Macaca mulatta: one gene and its partners. The protein of the gene in region 2 interacts with the protein of the main gene of each other region in a pairwise test. Links are inferred from orthologs where the notes say so. Each region holds a gene or a part of one and is shown on either strand. Other genes may lie near its edges.

What was found.
Region 1: the proteins of RNF185 (region 2) and YIPF2 interact in binary tests that used the Homo sapiens proteins (3 or more experiments, as listed by UniProt). The two-hybrid records come from large-scale screens. The link is inferred for Macaca mulatta from reciprocal best matches to the Homo sapiens genes RNF185 and YIPF2.
Region 3: the proteins of RNF185 (region 2) and UBE2K interact in binary tests that used the Homo sapiens proteins (3 or more experiments, as listed by UniProt). The link is inferred for Macaca mulatta from reciprocal best matches to the Homo sapiens genes RNF185 and UBE2K.

The regions. Positions count from the first base shown.
Region 1 is NC_133424.1:11,658,874-11,665,711, reverse strand, and holds the end of YIPF2 (protein YIPF2), read left to right. Parts: intron 1-151; coding exon 152-312; intron 313-394; coding exon 395-478; intron 479-2,184; coding exon 2,185-2,272; intron 2,273-2,682; coding exon 2,683-2,799; intron 2,800-2,872; coding exon 2,873-3,039; intron 3,040-3,194; coding exon 3,195-3,377; intron 3,378-3,477; coding exon 3,478-3,594; 3' UTR 3,595-3,613; intron 3,614-3,710; coding exon of another isoform or gene 3,711-3,791; 3' UTR 3,792-4,700; downstream 4,701-6,838. Other genes in the region: histone-arginine methyltransferase CARM1, read right to left, coding at 5,131-5,273, 5,441-5,509, 5,757-5,834, 5,939-6,051, 6,140-6,229, 6,315-6,452.
Region 2 is NC_133415.1:20,324,431-20,332,051, forward strand, and holds part of RNF185 (E3 ubiquitin-protein ligase RNF185), read right to left. Parts: intron 5,126-7,621; coding exon of another isoform or gene 5,107-5,125; intron 3,109-5,106; coding exon 2,996-3,108; intron 1,647-2,995; coding exon 1,592-1,646; exon of another isoform or gene 1,427-1,591; intron 1-1,426. UniProt on the Homo sapiens protein: E3 ubiquitin-protein ligase that regulates selective mitochondrial autophagy by mediating 'Lys-63'-linked polyubiquitination of BNIP1.
Region 3 is NC_133410.1:38,988,852-38,995,927, forward strand, and holds the end of UBE2K (ubiquitin-conjugating enzyme E2 K), read left to right. Parts: intron 1-377; coding exon 378-477; intron 478-3,549; coding exon 3,550-3,678; intron 3,679-4,227; coding exon 4,228-4,302; 3' UTR 4,303-4,938; downstream 4,939-7,076. UniProt on the Homo sapiens protein: Accepts ubiquitin from the E1 complex and catalyzes its covalent attachment to other proteins. In vitro, in the presence or in the absence of BRCA1-BARD1 E3 ubiquitin-protein ligase complex, catalyzes the synthesis of 'Lys-48'-linked polyubiquitin chains.

The sequences.
Region 1 (6,838 bases), on a different chromosome or scaffold from region 2:
CTCCAAACTGAGGAAGTTGGGCCCCCCACCTTGGGGGAGATCAGTGGCTTAGCAGAGCCTCCGCTCCCAGATGAGCATTGACTTGGCTGGAGCCCAGTCGAATTCTTTCCACCCCTCAAGCGTGCGTGTGTCCCATGTCCCTGCTCCACAGAATTCGAGGAGGCCACTAATCTTCTGGCTGAGACCCCAGATGCAGCCACAACCAGCAGAAGTGATCAGCTGACCCCACAAGGGCACGTGGCTGTGGCCGTGGGCTCAGGTGGCAGCTATGGAGCCGAGGATGAGGTGGAGGAGGAGAGTGACAAGGCCGCGGTGAGTCCCTGTGTCCTGCCTCTGTGCAGCTCCCAGCTGATCCACGCTGTCGGGGCAGGCGCTGAATGCCCGCAATGTGCAGCTCCTGCAGGAGAAGCAGCAGCAGCAGCCCGGATTCTGGACCTTCAGCTACTATCAGAGCTTCTTTGACGTGGACACCTCACAGGTCAGGCCTGGGGAGGCAGGTGAGGTGGGGCTCAGAGTTATGCTCAGGGTTCAGCCACACTTTCCCTGGGCAGGGTGCTGGTGATGGCGAGTGCGGGTGAAGGAACTGTGGTGCTCTCAAAGGGTTATGGTGGGACTGGTTATGGATCGGGACTGTAGGAACACAGGGGACACACACAATCTCGTGGGTTAGAGGAAGACCTCGTGGAGGACGTGAGGAATTGGCTGAAACCTAAAGGAGAAGGAACGCTTCCTGGGGAATGGGGGAGGGGAGCTGAAGTATGTTCCAGGCAAAGGGAACAGCATATGCAGAAGATCAAAGATGGGCTGGGGGCAGTAGCTCCCCGCCTGTAATTCCAGCACTTCGGGGGACTGAGGTGGGCAGATCACCTGAGCTCAGGAGTTCAAGACCAGCCTGGCTAACATGGTGAAACCCCATCTCTACTAAAAATACAACAAAATCAGCCAGGCTTGGTGTTGAGGCCCTGTAATCTCAGCTACTCTGGAGGCTGAGGCAGGAGAATCGCTTGAACCTGCGAGGCAGAGGTTGCAGTGAGCCGAGATCACGCCAGTGCACTCCAGCCTGGGCAAAAAGAGTGAGACTCTGTCTCAAAATAAATAAATAAATAAAATAAAAATACAAAAATTAGACCGGGCGTGGTGGCTCATACCTGTAATCCCAGCACTTTGAGAGGCCAAGGCAGGCAGATCACGAGGTCAAGAGATCGAGACCATCCTGGCTAACACGGTGAAACCCCGTCTCTACTAAAAATACAAACAAATTAGGGTGTGGGTGCAGGCGCCTGTAGTCCCAGCTACTTGGGAGGCTGAGGCAGGAGAATGGCGTGAACTCGGGAGGCGGAGCTTGCAGTGAGCCAAGATGGCGCCACTGCACTCCAGCCTGGGCGACAGAGTGAGACTCTGTCTCAAAAAACCAAACCAAAACAAAACAAAACAAAAATACTAAAATTAGCCAGGTGCAGTGGTTGGGCACCTGTAATCCTAGCACTTTGGGAGGCCGAAGTGGTGGATCACTTGAGGTCAGGAGTTGGAGACCAGCCTGGCCAACATGGTGAAACCCCATCTCTACTAAAAATACAAAAATTAGCCAGGCATGGTGGCGCATGGCCTGTAGTCCCAGCTACTCAGGAGGCTGAGGCATGAGAATCGCTTGAATCTGGGAGGCGGAGGTGGCAGTGAGCCAAGATCATGCCACCGCATTCCAGCTGGGAGGACAGAGTGACACTCCATCTCAAAAAGAAAAAGGGGGCTGGGGCTGGGCGCAGTGGCTCACGCCTGTAATCCCAGCACTTTGGGAGGCTGAGGTGGGCATATTACCTGAGGTCAGGAGTTTGAGACCAGCCTGGTCAACATGGCAAAACCCTGTCTCTACTAAAAATACAAAAATTAGTCGGGCGTGGTGGCACACGCCTGTAATTCCAGCTACCCAGGTGGCTGAGCCAGGAGAGTTGCTTGAGCCCAGGAGGCAGAGGTTGCAGTGAGCAGAGATCGTGTCACTGCACTCTATCCAGCCTGGCCGACAGAGTGAGACTCTGTCTAAAAAAAGAAAAAAAAAAGAGGGAAAGGCTGAGTTCTTTCAGGTGGGGCATGGAGACAGGAGGGTGGAGGTCAGCAGGGAAGGAGCCTCTCAGGACAAGGGAGAAGCTCCTGGCAGGCCTCCATCCTTGACCTCGGCCTTGCCCCCAGGTCCTGAACCGGATCAAAGGCTCACTGCTGCCCCGGCCTGGCCACAACTTTGTGCGGCACCATCTGCGGAATCGGCCAGATCTGTATGGTGAGTGAGGTACATTTGGTTCCTTGATGGATCACTCAACAAATGTGGCCTGAGTTGCAGACACCAGTGTACAGCTGAGGACAAATCAGTCACTCAGAGAGTGTGACTTACCTGCTGTTCAGGGAGACAGACATGAAGGACTGCAGAGGGTGGCGGGTAGAGAGCATATAGGAGGAGCGGCCTTGCTGTTTTGCAGGGTGCAGCAGGGCAGGCCTCCCTGAGCAGGGTGAGGGAATGAGCCTTGTTGGCAACGGGAGGGGTAGGGGAGACCTAGGAAAAGAGGGTTCCAGAAACAGCATAAGCTTCATGGCAGGAACTTGCATGAACTGCAGGGCGGCATTACCACTGGAGTAAATGAGCTGCAGGGAGATCACAGGTGGGGGGACTCTGACTGTGCCCCCCATCCTCAGGCCCCTTCTGGATCTGTGCCACGTTGGCCTTCGTCTTGGCTGTCACTGGCAACCTGACGCTAGTGCTGGCCCAGAGGAGAGACCCCTCCATCCACTACAGCCCCCAGTTCCACAAGGGTAAGCAGGCGGGCAGGACCGATGCCTGGCAGGGCCCCGGGGGGCAGGGGGTGACTGCTCACCTTGCCCCCAGTGACCGTGGCAGGCATCAGCATCTACTGCTACGCGTGGCTGGTGCCCCTGGCCCTGTGGGGTTTTCTGCGGTGGCGCAAGGGTGTCCGGGAGCGCATGGGGCCCTACACCTTCCTGGAGACCGTGTGCGTCTACGGCTACTCCCTCTTTGTCTTCATCCCCATGGTGGTGAGTGTGGCCTGGCGCGGAGTGGGTGGCGGCTGTGTGGGGACACTGGCATGGTCACCTGCTGCCTCACTCCCATGGTGGTGAGGGTGGCCTGGTGCGGAGTGGGTGGTGGCTGTGGGGACTGGCATGGTCACCTGCCGCCGTGTTGCTCCCAGGTCCTGTGGCTCATCCCTGTGCCTTGGCTGCAGTGGCTTTTTGGGGCACTGGCCCTGGGCCTGTCGGCCACCGGGCTGGTATTCACCCTCTGGCCTGTGGTCCGTGAGGACACTAGGCTGGTGGCCATGGTGCTGCTGTCTGCGGTTGTGCTGCTCCATGCACTCCTGGCCGTGGGCTGTAAGGTACAGGTCTGGGGTGGCCACAGGTGTACCTCAGGTGGGGCTGAGGGGCTGGGGGGGGGTGTGCGCTGGCCCTGCCTCTGACCCCAGGGGTCTTGTGCAGTTGTACTTCTTCCAGTCGCTGCCTCCGGAGAAGGTGGCTCCTCCACCCCAAATCACATCTCTGCCCTCAAACATCCCGCTGCCCCCTACCCTGCCTCAGTCCATGGCCCCCTCCTAGAAAGGCCCGGGTCCCACAGGTAAGGACTGTTTCCAGCTGGGCTAAGGGGGCTGCCCTCCCACCCCCAGTCAAGGTAAGAGGTTCTGGGGACACTCCCAGACAATTCTTTCTTTCAGGCAACACCTAAGTGGACCAACCCCTCTGCCTGTCCTGCCCCCCAGATGATGACTGAAGGCTCCCTTGACACCTTGAGATGACTCTGCTACTTTCCAGACTTTTCTTACAAAGCAAACACTTTTATTTTCTATGCAAAGGTGATTCAGAGAATTTATATAAAGGCGGGAGAGGGGCAGCCGAGCAGGGAGCTTTGGGACAGGGCTGGGGCTCCCATATCCCCCTGGGCCACCTGCTTTCCCTCCCATGGCTCCCCTGGAACAGGAGAGCGAGCCAAGGGGGCGCCCCAGCCTGGACAGCACCCGCTCCTGCCTGGGTGCACATATGGCGGGCCTGGGTCCGGGCCTGAGCTCCAGCATCTGAGTTTGGGGGTGTCAGAAACAGGGGAGCAGAAGGAGAAGAAAACTGCCTGTGCTGTAACACGTTTCCTTGTTTATTTTTTCTTTTTCTTTTTTTTTTTTCTGGAGGGAGAGGTCCCTGCAAGGTCCCTTCCCAGGCAGGGGAGGGACGGAAATGCCGTCACAGTAGTAGGGACTGGAGCGTCTACAAGGATGGAGGGGAGCTACTCAGGCCTAACATTAGCTACAAGGAAAAAGGACGCCTTCCGTGACAGATCTTTGAGGTGTCTGTGTCTGCCCCAAGTGGCCGGCAGTGGCCTTTCCTCCGGGCCCAAGGCCTGCAGCCACCTGCTCTAACTCTGGGTGGGGGGAGCTGGGGGGACTGCAGGGGCTCGGGGACAGGACAGCAGCAAGAGGCAGGGGCCGAGGACGGAGGCCTTCCCGACAGTGGGGTGGGTTGTACATTCAAGTGTGAGGTGAACCCTTTGGTGGGGAGGGGGCCCCTGAAGCCTCAGCGGGGCCACCCCTCCCTGCGGCGCCTCTTGAGTCTAGGGGGAGGGGCTGCTGGCTCGGCCCGGCCGGCCTGGCTTCACAGAGGGTCTGCGGATTGACACTGGTTCTTTTCGTAAAAAAATAAAATTAAAAAAAGCAGCATGTCACGTCCGTTGTGACCAAGGCCTGGTCGTCGAAGGGGAGGCCCCGCCTGGCCAGGCTACCTTCCCACTGGAGACAGGCAGGGGAACAGGTGCTAAGGGACCTGGCAGGCAGGGCTGGCAGGCCCCATGGCGCCTGTTCCAACAGATGACAATCCCAGGTCAGGGTGGAGCGGGCAGGAGGGGGACGAGGGCTCCCACGACATGATTTTGTGTAAAATATGGCAGCGACACACGCTCAGGGCTAGGAGGTGGGGGTTAGGGTGGGGATGGCGGCAACATCGTGTAAAAAAGTGTCCCAGTTCCCATAGCAAAGAGGGCTGTGACCGGGTGTTCGGGCTTCTCCAGTACAAGGGGGAAAGCCGCCCGGCGGGGGGGCGGGCGGGGACATCATTTGGTTTCCTGGTGCTGTCAGTCCGCGGGGCAGGCCCCTAGCTCCCGTAGTGCATGGTGTTGGTCGGGATGGACATGGGCGACGCCATGGAGATGGCAGGGCCGCCCATGGTGAACTGGCTGTTGACTGCATAGTGGGCACTGGTGCCGCCACCACCGCTGCCCTGGGCGCCGGAGGACCCTGTGGGGCAGGCGATGGCAGTGAGGGGCTGCCCTGGCCCACCCAGCCCCCAGGCAGAGTCACAGAGAGGAAGGGCAGGCAAGAGGGCAGGCGGGCGGCCGGACAGAGGATGGCGACTCACACGCTAGCTCGGCCCCCACGGGCCCTGCCCCCGCCACCCTCATTACCTTGGACAATCCCCGTGCTCATTATGGAGCCCATCCGGGAGTGGGTGTGATTGACAATCCCCGTGTTGGCTGCGCAGCAAGAGGGAGGAAAGAAGGAAGGGAGACGGCGTCACCGCCCCCAGCCACCCAGCCCATGCGCAGCAGCAGGCTGCAGAGCGAGGCAGAGAGGACGGAGGGCCTCGGCCGAGAGCCCCCTGGAAGAGGAAAAGGCGAAAGGACCAAGCACAGGCCGACCCTGGTTGCCACAGGCCCTTCCCGGCCTCTGGGCAGTCCTGGGCATGGCTCTCTGCTGACCCTGGCCCTGGGGGACACTCACCTAAAGGAATCAGGTTGTTGTGGCCCACGCTGGAGCCACTGGCAATAACACTGCTCAGGTCGTAGGCGGTCGGCATCCCTGTGCCCAGAGAGGGGAGACGTCAGGGCTGGAGGCAGAGGGGCCAGGCCTGCAGTGAGGGCGGCCTCCCGGGTTGGCTGGGCATTGGGGCGTGCCCTGCTCACCTGCCACGGCCATCCCGCTGCTGAGGTTGTAGGTGCTGCCTGTGTTCCACATGTTTTCCGAGGGAGATGTGTAGTGGGAGCCGGGTGGGGGTGAGGGTGTCGTGCCCGTGTATCTGTGGCAGAGACAGAGCCATGGGCAGGGGCAAGGGGGCTGCAGGGCCGGGGCGCCCCCACCCCGTGCAGGTAGGGTGCCCCTCCTACCTGAAGAAGGGGTTTTTTAGATCCAGGAGGTTACTGGACTTAGAGCCGGTCTGGTCCACCTGGGCCACAATACTGATGTCGTAGCTCTGTCTGTGGAGAGGGTGCAGGCCGCGGCGTGAGTGGCTGGGAAGATGGACCCCTGCCCCCCACCACCAGCCCCAGGGAGCAGTCACACCTCTTGTTGGCAATAAGCAGACATGTCCCTGAGAGCGTGTCCCCTGCCTTGGCGAACAGTGGTGACTGGAACAGGCACCGCACCTGGTACCAGTGAGTCAGGGGCTCTGTCGGGGCTGTGGACAGCCACACGGTCATTCTGTGGAGCAGGGACAGGCACACACTTGACTGGGCCAGCGCCATCACTGGAGCCACCACCTTGTATGCCTTGAGTCCTCCCCAAGCACCTGCCCCCTCTGCCAGGGACCCCCGGGACGGGCTGGCCCCCAGGCATTCCCAGACACATACATGAGCAGGCATACATGTACACACGAGGGACCTGCAGCCACGAGATCCCTGCTCACCCTGACATGTGCCAAGAGACAGACACAGGCCCATGAGGGACAGACACTGGGAACACAGGACACACAGGACACACACACACCCCACCCACAACAGTCTCTTGCTCTGAGACAGGCTCTCACTCCCATTGGAAGGGATGGTGGAACCTGGAGCCACGTTCCACCCTCCCAGTCAGGTTGCAGC
Region 2 (7,621 bases):
AAAACTCAATGAGTTCCCAGTAATAGCATGGAAAAATAAAAAAAAATAAAAAACTCAATGGGATAAATGGCAGCCTAAATAATAAAGAGGACACTTCAGAGCATCATGGAAAACCTGCCAAAATTAAATTTTAAAGCAAACAGAATGGTGATGGCTACATAAAAATACATATGCACAGCATACAGATAAAGAGAACATGAGGAAATGAGAATATACTTGTTCTGGGCTCTTGGCAATGCGGGTAAATATTTTGCTTTTAAAATTTCTTTAACATTTTAACAGAATTTTTTTTTTCTTTTTGAGATGGAGTCTCGCTCTGTCGCCCAGGTTGGAGTGCAGTGGCCGGATCTCAGCTCACTGCAAGCTCTGCCTCCTGGGTTCACGCCATTCTCCTGTCTCAGCCTCCCGAGTAGCTGGGACTATAGGTTCCCACCACCTCACCCGGCTAGTTTTTTGTATTTTTTAGTAGAGATGGGGTTTCACCGTGTTAGCCAGGATGGTCTCGATCTCCTGACCTCGTGATCCGCCCGTCTCGGCCTCCCAAAGTGCTGGGATTACAGGCTTGAGCCACCGCGCCCGGCCCAGAATTTTTTTTAAGAGTAACATTTGATGTAAATATGCAAAAAAGTTTAAAATGTTTTTGTTCCTAGCCACTAGACCACTAGAGATAAATGTGCAATTTTTTTTTAGCCAGTAATTTTACTTCTAAGAATTTATCCTAAGCTAGGCACAGTGGTTCACGCCTGTAATCCTAACACTTTGGGAGGCTGAGATGGGAGGATTGCTTGAGCCCAGGAGTTAGAGACCAGCCTGGGCAACATAGTGAGACCTTGTTTCTACCAAACAAACAAACAAACAAACAAACAAAAAACTAGCTGGGCATGGTGCCGTGCACCTGTGGTCCCAGCTACATGGGAGGTTGAGGTAGACTGTTTGAGCCCAGGATGTCGAGGCTACAGTGAACCGTGATCACGCCACTGCACTCCAGCCTGGGCTACAGAGTGAGACCCTGTCTTATTCTAATAAAATAACAGTGAATACGCTCACAAATTTATCTGTAAGTTCATCAGGATATTTTTTAAATTGGAAAAAGAAAGCTGCTAAATGTCTAACAAAGGATTGAATTATGTTAAATCCACACAACTAAATGCTAAACAGCTAGTTAGTAAAATATTGCTGGTAATGTAAAATCTCAAGATAATACTAAGACTCCCACTCACACAAAGAAGGCACTAAATATCTGCAGAACAAATGAAATTTTAAGAGAGGGTTACAAAACAGGAGCCACGTATTGTAAAAAACAAAAAAATTGTAAAACGTATACACACATCTATAAAATACACGCATAGATTTATAAAATTTGTGTGTATATATAATTATAGAAAAATGGAAAAGAAAATAGAACCAAAATGTTTCCAGTGGTTACCTCTGGATTGGTGTGGTTATAAGTGATTTTTCCCCCTCTTTTCCTTTCTGTATTTTACAAGTTTTCCTGTACTTTTATAATCAAGGAGAAATATTGTAAGGCTAAGAAGGAAACTTCTAAAGCCATCAGCTCATTTGTAGAAGCTTCTCCTAGAATGTTCCTCACCCCTCTATTCTCCGGCTCTGGCCTCTGTCCTTGAGGACGAGGAGGGGTCTTCTCTCTGAAACAGAAATGGTGTAAAATAAGTCTATTACAAATTGCTTTGAGTTGCTCCCCGTGAGGACCTGGAGCTCTTCACCAACAGGGTCAGGGCCATAGCCTCTTTCTTGCCCAGGACATGAACTTATGTCAAATTAATTCTCCAAATACTAACTCTTCATTTTACCTGCAACTGTTCTTCCCACCTGTATAGAGGACCAGGGAGAAAATCAGCTTGTTACGAGATATTCACCAGATTGCACTACAGCCTTCTCTTACAGAGATCCTGACTCGGACTGGTTAGGAATCATGGCCAGATGCCTTCCCTGGGCCTGTCAGATACCAGAAATTCCAAATCCATACTGGAACAGAGGGTGGGTTGTCAGCAGTTAAGGACTGAGGTTCATGGTTTCTCTGACCTTCCCCTACTAACTTCAGTTCTATCTCACACTATTCTTGGGCAAATACCCGATGCTATTATTTTTGAGCCTCACCCCCTCTGATCACTCAACCCATGAATACTCAATTGAGGGCTGAGTTACACAATAAGCATTATGCAGGATGCTATAATACTGAGACTGATGACAGACGCAAGAGGTGTTCATGGTTTCAACGGGGATAGAGCCAATCACATGACAGTGCGGTGGGAACTGGGTGAGAGCAACTAATGTGGAGAAGACAGACCGCTTCAAGGAAGAGGGGACTTTAGGGCTGCTCATAAGAGATGAGTAGAAGTTAGAGGAGAAGGTGGGGGTAGAGGGGTAGCTCGAGCAGGACTGGGGAGGGAAGAAGGCAGAAGAGAGAGCAAATACACAGGCTGATAAATGTGAAAGAGCAAGTCCCTTTAAGAGAAGTCTAATATGTTGGGTACACAGCATATGCTAGGGTAGGCAGGAGAAGGTAAGAGATTCTTCGGGAAAGCTTGGGGATGCCAGACCATGAAAGGTTCTCGTACTTGTGTTTGTGGAACGCTGGACCCATGCACATCTCCATTTCTAGAAATCCCAAACTCCACAAAGTCACCCAGATCCTGTTTCCTCTCCCCCGATGCTTCATACGTCTCTGATGCAGCAACCCTACTCCCTGGAGCCTCTCCTGCTACATAGCCTGCTTCCCAGGCTGCAGAAGTGCTCTTTCACAGTGCTCTGTACACTTGTGATTGTGATGTCTGTCCACTGCTGGGTCCCAGCAAGCGGCAACTTGGATCCCCTCTCTTCCCTCCCCTCCTAGCTGACTCTCATCTGGATGAGACTGTTTCAAAACCAAGGGATCATCTAGTACTAAGTAAAGGGTGGGGTTAGGGGATGCTGAATGGGAATGAATTCACGTCCAAGGGGAAAAGTGGGTGGGAGAGGCATCCTAAGTCCTCACCTGGGGTCCTGTTGCCCAGTGCTGCCCCTTCCATAGAGGGGGATGACTTTGTCTCGGCTGATGCCAGCTTTGCAAACGGGACACACCTGTCTGTTAGGTCGGGTCTCCAACCACTGCAAATAGGAGAGAAAAATGCATGAATGGCCCAAGACCCACCAGAGTGATCAGCCAGAGCCGCCATAACAACATAGGCCAGAGGCCTCAAACTGGGAAACACCAGCATGAGCAGGGAACACCTCAAGGAATCCGACTCCCGTTCCTTCTCCTAGCATTCAACAAATACTTACCAGTGATAAAATCAAAATTGCCTTTAAATATCATCATAACTGGCTGGGTGCGGTGGCTCATGCCTGTAATCCCAGCACTTTGGGAGGCGGAGGTGGGTGGACCACCTGAGGTCAGGAGTTCAAGAGCAGCCTGGCCAACATAGTGAAGCCCCATCTCTACTAAAAATACAAAAATTAGTCAGGCGTGGTGGTGCATGCCTGTAGTTCCAGCTACTCGGGAGGCTGAGGCAGGAGAATCACTTGAACCCGGGAGGTGAAGGTTGCAGTGAGCCGAGATTGCACCACTGCATTCCAGCCTGGGTGACAAGACTCTGTCTCAAAAAAAAAAAAAAAAAAAAAAAAAAAATCACAAAGCTTCTTCATACTGTGTTTCTCTCTAGGGCCTCCTAGCAACACGGGGGAGGGAAACTGCAAGCCTGGGGCTGTCAAGTCTGACATACCCAGCATCAATTTAGGCTGCTGGTATAAGTATAGCAAACTTTAAATCCCCACCTTCCCAGTAGGAGCAACTGTATTTTCCTGTCAAAAAGACAAAAAAAACTAGCTGGGTGTGGTGGCATGCACCTGTAATCCCAGCTACCCAGGAGGCTGAGGCACAAAGAATCGCTTGAACCCAGGAGGCAGAGGTTCCCGCCAAGATCTCACCATTGCACTCCAGCCTGGGCAACAGAGCAAGACTCCGTCTCAAAAACAAAAAACAAAAAAAAATTAATTTTCTTAAAAAAACAAGTGATAAAAATGTTTTTTTTTTTTCGAAACAGTCTCACTCTGTCACCCAGGCTGGAGTGCAGTGGCGCAATCTCAGCTCATTGCAACCTCCGCCTCCCAGATTCAAGCAATTCTCATGCCTCAGCCTCCCTAGTAGCTGGGACTATAGGCGTGCACCACCATGCCCGGCTAATTTTTGTATTTTTTGTAGAGACGGGATTTTGCCATGTTTGCCAGACTATTCTCAAACTCCTTGCCTCAAGTGATCCACCTGCCTTGGCCTCCCTAAGTGCTGGAATTACAGGCGTGAGCCACCACACCTCACCAAAATGTGTTTTTATAGACATTCTATAAACATGAATTACTTCAGGGCTGAGGAGATAGCAGCATTGAATGATTTTATTTCATACTCTTGCTGTTCATAGCTCCAAAACTAATGTGTTATGTGTTCTTCATAAACTCACAGTCAATATGTTCTACCAGGTCCTGCTGGGGACAGAATGTGCAGCCCTGTTCCCACCTTCTTTCTCCCATCCAGATTCTGAAGCTTTAGCAGTCTGGAACTTCTGTCCTCCCCTACATTCCTAGGCCACCTACAAGTGTGGTACTCTACTGCTGACAACCAGGGAGACATTTAGCTGGCTGTGATTATTCACAGCCACTTGTGAATGCCAGGCTTTAGCAGGTGCTAAAGCTGGGAAAATAGACTTTTCTCTCCTCACAAAAGCTCTTTGTTGACACCAAAAAAGTTTTCCCCTTCCTAATATTTTCATAAATTTTAAGGGCTGGGGGACTGTTGATATGATAGGAGGTACTGTTTTAATAGAAGCAGAATCTCAAAAATAAAAAGGACCTAACTAACATACTATCAATCCAATCCAATTTATAAACGAGTAACTGAGACCCACAAAGGCCATCTGTGGCAGAATTAGGACCATCCCGATTTCATCAAGTGCCTGTCAGTGGGCAGGTATGTAAAGAAGGCTTTGGGGGTAAGTAAGCAAATGAGCCCACAAGCAGGGCAGATTGCAGCTTCTGACAGTAGTCTCCTGAGACTAGGGCTGTCTTGTGCAACCATAGCTGATGAAAGACAAAGTAAAATGAAATGCATCTTACCTGATGTAAACACGGCCAACTGCCGGAGTCCCCAGGGCAACCAGTCATCAAGGAGAAGGAGAAAAGGGGAAAGGAAGAAAAATGCTTTCATTAGCAGAAACACTTGATGGGTGGAGTGGTAGTAGCAGAATGAGAAAACAGGAGTAAACTATGGAACACTGCATGCCCACCGAGGTTCTGTAGGGATTACTGGTATTGGAAATTAGAAAAAACTGGGCTAAAAATCACAGAAAAAAAAATAACACAATGGAGATAAGACCCCAGTCTCTGCCCCTGAGATCTCAGCATATGTGAAATCCCCAGGGCTCAGACCACATAGACCCAGCTTCTCTACAAATCAACCTGTGAGAGGTTATAACATCTGAAGGAATCCAATAAAAGCTAGGGACGCCCTGTGCAAAAAAATTGACGGGAGCATTCACATACACATGTACCACATACTATTTTACACTCAATTTCAGTGGGTTCATAGTCTCCTCGGGTTCACAAGGGATGTGTGGATTCTCAGGTAGTCCAGATCCAGTTTAACAAAATCTTCAGGCTATCCTCATCTTTGAGAACTCTCCTAGCAGGAAGCAGCTTAAAAGGTCAGGTCTACTCTAAAAGCATCTTTAAGTAACAGGAAGGATGGGGATGCAATTGACAGAAAGGGCTACCTTCAGCTTAGAGAGCTGCTGTCCAATCTCTCCATTTTCAAATGAGGAAACCAAAGCTCAGAAACATAAAATGAACTGCATCAGGATTAAAAAAAACAAAAAAGTCTCCTGACTTCTAGTTCATCACCCTTTCTATAATCTAACACTGCATACAAAAAAAAATGACATTTACAGAATTGAAAGAAAAGTAATCAACTCCATTTTTTTTTTTTTTTGAGATGGAGTTTCGCTCTTGTTGCTCAAGCTGGAGTGCAGTTCACTCAGCTCACTGCAACCTCTGCCTCCCAGGTTCAAGGGATTCTCCTGTCTCAGCCGCCTGAGTAGCTGGGATTACAGGCATGCGCCACCATGCCCAGCTAATTTTTTGTATTTTTAGTAGAAACAGGGTTTCACCATGTTAGCCAGGCTGGTCTCGAACTCCTGACCTCAGGTGATCCACCCGCCTCGGCCTCCCAAAGTGCTAGGATTAAAGGCGTAAGACACTGCATCCGGCCCACATTTTAAATTTCTTTCTCTCATTTATTTAGTCAACACATATCTACTGTGTACCTACTACGTGCCAGGACAGTGGAAAATGCAGGCATAGCTTCTGTACCTCAGATACCAAGTATCTTTAGCTGAGTACACTTTGAACTCAACGGAGAGTTCCTTTTGCAATTCCTGAACCACAGTTTAGCTTTGCAAACCAAATACACAATCTTCCTGGACATAACATCTAACTCCAACATTAATATTGCAATGTCATTCTAAACTGAGTGGAGAACACTCCAAATCATGGCAGATTTCCAGTGGCAAGTTCCCTTAAAGGCTTTAGGGGGGAAGTGGAGGTGAATGAATGACCCTCAGGGGAGAGTTCAGGCTTTATAATAAGAACCATTCCTCCCATTTATTAAGCAAAGATAGTCATGTATCACTGAAAGACAGGGATAGTTCTGAGATATGTGTCATTAGGCAATTTCACCATTGTGTGAGCAGCATCAGAGAGTGTACTTACACAAACCTAGATGAAATAGCATACTACACACCTAGGCTACATAGTATAGCCTATTGCTAATAAGCTACAAACCTGAATAGCATGTGAATGTCATAGGCAACTGTAACAGAGTGGTAAATATTTGTGTATTTAAACATACCTAACATAGAGCCAAGGTGTGGTGGCTCACGCCTGTAATCCCAGCACTTTGAGAGCTAAGGTGGGCAGACTATTTGAAGTCAGGAGTTCGAGACCAGCCTGGCCAACATGGTGAAACCCCATCTCTATTAAAAATACAAAAACTAGCCATGTGTGGTGGCACATGCCTGTAATCCCAGGTACATGGGAGGCTGAAGCATGAGAATCAACTTGAACCTGAGAGGTGGAGGTTGCAGTGAGCTGAGATCATGCTACTTAATCTGGAGTGCCACTGCACTTTGGGAGGCTGAGGCGGGTGGATCACCTGAGGTCAGGAGTTCGAGACCAGCCTGGCCAACGTGGTAAAACCCTGTCTCTACTACAAACACAAAAATTAGTCAGGTGTGGTGGCACATACGTATAATCCCAGCTTCTCGGGGGGCTGAAGCAGAAGAATCGTTTGAACCTGGGAGGCAGAGGTTGCAGTGAGCCAAGATCATGCCACTGTACTCTAGCCTTGGGCAACAGAGTGAGACTCCATCTTAAAAAAACAACAAACAAACAAAAAGTCCAACATACCTAACATAGAAAAGGCAATGCACTAGTCTATAACATTATGAAATCACTAGATTATAGAAATTTTTCAGGTCCATCATAAATCTTGTGGGACCACTGTTGTATATATAGTCCATCGTTGACCAAAATGTCGTTATGTGCTGCATGACTGTACTGTGTGCCACGCTGTGGC
Region 3 (7,076 bases), on a different chromosome or scaffold from region 2:
CAAAAAAATGCTGGGTGTGGTGGTGTGTGCTTGGAGTTCCAGCTACTTGGGAGGCTGAGGCAGGAGAATCGCTTGAACCCAGGAGGCAGAGGTCGCAGTGAGACAAGATAATGCCACTGCCCACTCCAGCCTGAGCGGCAGAGTGAGACCCTGTCTCCAAAAAAAAGAAAAAAGAAATAGGCAAATTGTAAAGTAAGGAAGAAAATAAATGATAGGCAGATACATAATTATAAATGTCTATTACTTAACTGTATAATTAAGATAAAGATCTAAGTAACTTTTAGCTCCACAATTTTTTAATTTTTATTAAGAAAGTACTTAATTGCTTTTGCCTGCAGAGCCCTCTTAATTGGGATATTTTCATATTTGAATTTTAGGGCAGCTGCAATGACTCTCCGCACGGTATTATTGTCATTGCAAGCACTATTGGCAGCTGCAGAACCAGATGATCCACAGGATGCTGTAGTAGCAAATCAGGTAAGATGGCTGCTTTTGAAAGACTTCCTTACATTATGTGTGAGTCTTTAACCGCTTTAATGGTTTGCACATTAACACATGAGCATACTCTATTGAAACTAAATTTTGAAATGGTTTTCTTTCTTGTAGGATTATTTTGTCAGGTGTAATAGTGAAAACTTAATAGACTTTTAACATCTAGTTTAGTTGGATATAGATGCTATTTTCCTAACATGAGTATTTTCAAACACATAAAGTCAAAAGAATTACACAGTGAACACCCATATTCCTACCATCTAGATTCTAGGATTAATGCTGGTGTATGTATCCATCTTTTTATCCTTCTATTCAGGAAGGATGATCCCTCCTGCTAATAATTTTAATCACCTCCTATCATGGCACTGACATGGCATGGCACAGTCTCCAATGACCTGGTAATTTGTTGAATGGAATAAATATTTTTCATTTCACTTTCTAGCTACAGTGGCTGAGTTTAATAATTACATCAGAGACTGGACCTAAGTTATTAGTATCTGACCCATTAAGAAACAGTTTGCTGGCCAGGTGCGGTGGCTCATGCCTGTAATCCCAGCACTCTGGGAGGCCAAGGTGGGTGGATCACTTAAGGTCAGGAGTTCCAGACCAGCCTGACCAACAGGACCAATAGGTGGTGAAACCCTATCTCTACAAAAAACACAAAACTAGCCCGGCGTGGTGGGACGCACCTGTAGTCCCAGCTACCTGAAAGGCTGAAGTGGGAGAATTGCTTGAACCTGGGAGGCAGAGGTTGCAGTGAGCCGAGATCACGCCATTGCACTCCAGCCTGGGTGACAGAACGGAACCCTTTCTCAAAAAACAAAAAAGTTTGCCAATACCTACTTTAAGCAATTGGAATATAATGAACATTCTTTTTTTTTTTTTTTTAAACCTTAGTTTTTCTTCTCTTGACTTCTAAGATATTACCCACTTTTCTTCCTCACTTCATAGCTGTTCTTTGTTAGTTCCCACAATTATTTCCCTTCCTACTCGTCTTTCTTAAATGTAGTTCCTCAGTTCTGACCTTGTTACCTTTACTTTCTGTACACATTGACACTTGGATGATCGTATCTATACTGATGTTACCACCCGTACATTGATGAAATGTGTAGGCTTGCCCTCTCTCACGAGAGCCTGATGTTTAACTAAATTAGTAGGTGATGGTATCATAGAATGATAGGTTTGTAGGATTTATGATATTGCATTCAGTTTTGGCAGTAGTGTTACACTCAGGTATCTAAGGAACATTCATATGGTTAACCACCCAAGTCACAGCCTTTGGAGTTTTTCTCTGTCTCCTTTGCTCCTGTTGATAACCATTCCCTGTATCATTCTGTTACTATATTTACATAATTACTCTGATCATTTTTAAAAATTCTTTTCAACTGCTCTGATAGATCTTTTCTCAACCTCTTTCTTCCTTTCTCCGTCTTCTCCGTTGCTATCAGGTAGCTTTATAAAGTGCAAATCTTACTTCACTAACAAAAACTTGTTAGTAGCTCTACTGTCACCTACTTGAGTCCAAATTCTTTAGTTCATAGAGTTTTTCCATGATCTGAACTCTCTGCAAACCTAGCTTTATTTCCTAAATTCTTTTCTTCAAACTCATGCTTTTTCAAGCATTGCATTCGTTTTTACATATTGTATCCAATCTGCCATATTTCCTCTGCCTGAGGAAACTTCCTCTTGGCAAATTTCTTTAACCTATAAGATTTTAATTTATGTATTATCTTCTTTTCCCTTGAAGATCTGTTTACTCCTTGCTTTATGTATATATCCTTGTCAGTATATTCTGTTATTTGCCTCAGAGTACTTCCAATTCGGATTTTCCATGTTTTTTTATATATGTGCTATTTATTCATATTTGGTTGTTAAAAGCATGGCTTGTATTCCAGCTTTGCTTTCCTGTTGAATTCTAAGCCTTACAGGCTAAGGTTGGACTCAAGGGTTTCTTCTAGCTCCTAAGATAGTTCAATAATTTGACTTATTTTCTTGTGATGAATCAGTGGTAGAAAGTAGATTTATCATTTTAATATGTAATAGATTTAAATATATAAAGTACTTTTAAAAGAAATATTAAAGTGAATTGAAGCATTAGTAATTTATACTTTGCTTTACTAAGTAATGGTGGTTCCAAAGTATTTGATAAATTTACCTCTTTCCAATGCATATGGGAAGTCTTTTAATAAAATTACTCTATTGTGAGTTTATGATCATCTCAAGTTATGTAATAAATTAGGTCTTTGCATGTGGGTTTCCATAAATCACTGTACACTAATGCAGCTGTAAGAAAACAGAAGAATCTAGTTGTATTCTAGCCTGGGCTGTGGGTTATACAAAAGCTGGTCACATTGTAAAAAATTATTCTAATGTCGGCCGGGCACGGTGGCTCAAGCCTGTAATCCCAGCACTTTGGGAGGCCGAGACGGGCGGATCACGAGGTCCGGAGATCGAGACCATCCTGGCTAACACGGTGAAACCCCGTCTCTACTAAAAAATACAAAAAACTAGCCGGGCGAGGTGGCGGGTGCCTGTAGTCCCAGCTACTAGGGAGGCTGAGGCAGGAGAATGGCGTAAACCCGGGAGGCAGAGCTTGCAGCGAGCCGAGATCCGGCAACTGCACTCCAGCCTGGGCAACAGAGCAAGACTCCATCTCAAAAAAAAAAAAATTATGCTAATGTCCACATATTTTTATAAGCTAGTAATCTGTGTTCAGTTGTATAATGTTTGCTGCTTTACAGTGTTTGGAACATCTCTTAATACTTCACTTAATCTAATTTTAGTCTTTTGCTAGTTATATCTGTTGGATTTGGAGATTAAAGTAGATTAATGTTACTTGTCTTTATTATTGTCAACACAAATTGTGAGTGAAAGCTTCAGGTTAAGTGGTCTTTTCTCGAGTGACATAGGTTGTCTATAATGCAAAGTGAATCACATTTTAAGTGTAGATTTGTTTTATTTGGAAAAAGTAGGATTGTAGGCAATTAAGAGCTGAAATACCATATCAAATATTATAACTGTAATGTCATGTCAATCAATTTTTTCCCCCCCATATAGTACAAACAAAATCCCGAAATGTTCAAACAGACAGCTCGACTTTGGGCACATGTGTATGCTGGAGCACCAGTTTCTAGTCCAGAATACACCAAAAAAATAGAAAACCTATGTGCTATGGGCTTTGATAGGGTAAGTACATAAGGGCATGTTGATTTTGATATATTGATTGATTTTAAATTATTGCAAATTCTTGACTGACAAAAGTGGTTTAGAAAATTAAGAGAAATTCGCAGCCTGAGCAACATGGCAAAACGCATCTCTACAAAAATTAGCTGGACGTGATGGTGAGTGCCTGTAACCCAGCTACTCTGAAGGCTGAGGTGAGAGAATCCCTTGGACCCAGGAGGTCAGGAGGTCGAGGCTGCAGTGAGCGATAGTCATGCCACTGCACTCCAGCCTCGATGATAGAGCAAGACCCTGTCTCAAAAAAAAAAAAAAAAGGAAAATAAGAGAAAATCTAGTTTTGGTAAACATATTTTCTGTTTTCGAAATCAGTGATTTTTTTTAATTTTTACTGATCACTGTCATTGATTTTAGAAGCTTTTCATGCACTGCAAATGTAAATCAACTTACAGAAAAGAAACAAGGTGTTAATTCCCAATATAAAGAGTGAATGATTCAGTATTGTTTAAATGTTTCCTTGAGATTTAATTTCTTGTCCCCTTTTCTTCTCTACAGAATGCAGTAATAGTGGCCTTGTCTTCAAAATCATGGGATGTAGAGACTGCAACAGAATTGCTTCTGAGTAACTGAGGCATAGAGAGCTGCTGATATAGTCAAGCTTGCCTCTTCTTGAGGAGCACCAACATCTGTTATTTTTAGGATTCTGCATAGATTTCTTTTAAACTGGCATTCTTGCCTAATGATGTTATCTAGGCACCATTGGAGACTGAAAAAAAAAAAAAAAATCCCTGCTCTGTAAATAAAGCTAATTAAACGTCTGTGTAAATTTAAAAAGGGGAAATACTTTAATTTTTTTTTTCTTAATAGTGTAAAAATTCCTTGAGCTAAGCTAAAACCATGGAAGAAACATGCTACTTTAGTGTTTAGCAGTGTACCAAGACTAGCAAGAGTTTGCTTCAGGATTTTGTTGAATAATTAAGATAATACTTTGAGTGTGTCAGGGCCATTCAAATTGTTGGTGTTGCATCACAGCTACCTTAACTGTTTTTAACATGGATCCTCTGTGCCTGTGAATTTACTTGCATGCTTGTACTTGACTTCTTAGGATGGGTAGCTGAAAAGACCACCATTTTAAGCATTTGAGAATTCTTAAATATGAAATTTATTCAGAATTGAAGATGGTGACCTATTCAGAGCCTTTTTGTCCTTGTCAACAGACTGGGACATAGTGTCTGTTTCCCCCCTTCCCACCCCTTTCCCCACCCCCACCTTGCCACACAAGCTAATATTCTAATGGTAAATTTCTCTGTATTTGGTGGGGAAATGTGCTGAAGGACAGTATGTATCCCTTGCTTCATTTTTAGGTCGTAGGTTTGGAATGTTTTGTCCCAGTTCTTCAAACACTCTTAAATTTTTCCTAAGTAATGTAAAAATGGAACTGCCAATTTTATTTCTCTTGCAAAAATAGTAAATACTTGGTGTTACATTATTCCCAGGTTTAATGAAAGAACCCAACTTAGTTTTTCAGTGAGTTTGACACCTGTTTTTTAAACGATGAAATTTTTCTTTGAGAACTGGCAAGGATGCAGTCAGCTGTTTCCAGTAGTTTTTAGCCTGATTTTGGGGTCTATAGCGATTGCTTTATTGGATACTTCAAGTCATTCTTGCTTGCACTTCCCCTATTGACACATGAAAGCTGTGTTGGTGTTTTATTGTACATACTTCAGATGCACATAGGAATAGAAGTGTGTTATAAATCTAGCTTTCTTTATGATGTTTCTGATAATATGAGAATTGAAAACTTTACCTTCTCTTGTACATAGTCAGACTATTTGTATTAAATTTTCATTTCATTCTAAGTTCAAAAGTTTGAAAATTATTAGTTTTGCAAGATCAAACACTAATGTGACCATTTTATGAAGGTTGAAGTGGATTTATGCAGGCAGTTCTATATATAGAAATACAATTCTTTTTAAATTTTTAGGACCAATACAAAATAACAAAAATGTAATGGAATCAGACTGAATTAAAGTAAGGCTGTATATTGAAAGTAATATTATAAAAGGTTTGCTTTCTTTAAGTGTTATTTATCTTAAATTATAATCGTTAAGTGTTTGGAAGATAATTTTTGAATCATAACGTCAGCATAACTTCATTTGACTTCTCAATAATCTTGATACTAGAAGCAATAAAAGAACCATTATTAAATATATTGTAATGTTAAAGATGTGAAGGTTCTTCCAAAAATTTGTAAGGCTTTCCTAATTAACAGTAAACTCTTATAGTTGATATTATTGCATACTAAACACAAGTTGCTGTTTTTTCCCCATATGTTTGCTTAAGCATGTCTTTATACAACCACCTCCTTTTATTGTTGTAGTTTATTTTCTAAAGATGCCAAAGGAAACAAGATTTTTCTTTATTTATTTTAAATACCTGAAACCTTGTACTTTATATTTTGAAGTAAGGTGGGATTGTGTGAAAATGTGGATGGTTTTTCTCCATTATTGGTTAGAATTACTTTTTTTAAGTGGAGGGCAACTTGGTACTATTCGTAGAATTTGGGTTTAAAAATATCAGACACATCTACCCAGGTTTTTTTTGCCTGTATTATCAGGGTATATTTAATGTCCTGTGGTTAGACAAAGGTGAGAGAGCTCAGAGGTTTCTAAAGGTCAGGCATTACATACATACGTACATGCTCTTGGAGGCAGCTATATCCTGCTTTGATTTTTATGCACATGAGCCCTATAGGGTTATATACTCATCTGACTACACTTCAACATCCCCAGTGCCCAAGAAATTGGAAAGTACATTTGGTTTGAGACATCTTCATAAAAGATTCTTTATTATAAAAATTTACCTCATTTACATTTAATGTGATGATCTTTTTTTTGCTTTCTGGTATATTTCCCACTGTACTGTTTGCTTTTGTTATTCTCTTGTGTGTGGGTAGATTTAGTTACCCAAACATAGAAACTAAAGCAATTGCTTTTTTCCTCTGTTCTTAAATATGTTTGGAAAAAAAGACACTAAAAGATCAGGCCTAGGGGAAAAGTACCCTGGTGGAAATTATTTTTGTAATTCTTAATATTTTTGAGTTGGCTCCGTTTGTCAGTTTTAAAAGTCTCAAAAATTATGTTAAAAAAAAAAAATCCAGTGAAATCCCATTTAGGGCAGGCCGATTTGTTAGAAGTCATTGATACTCCAGTAGGCTTTTGTTGTAATCAGGCCTGTTTCCTGAGTATGTGCCTCTTTTAAAAGAAGAAATAATTAGCTGTATAGTATTTCAGTACTGATGAATGAATGAATGAATGAATGAATGAATGGCAGTTAGTGGACCCAAATAAGTATTCAGTGGTATATAAATATTTGAGGGACTAGGTACTGAATTAGATGCTCTG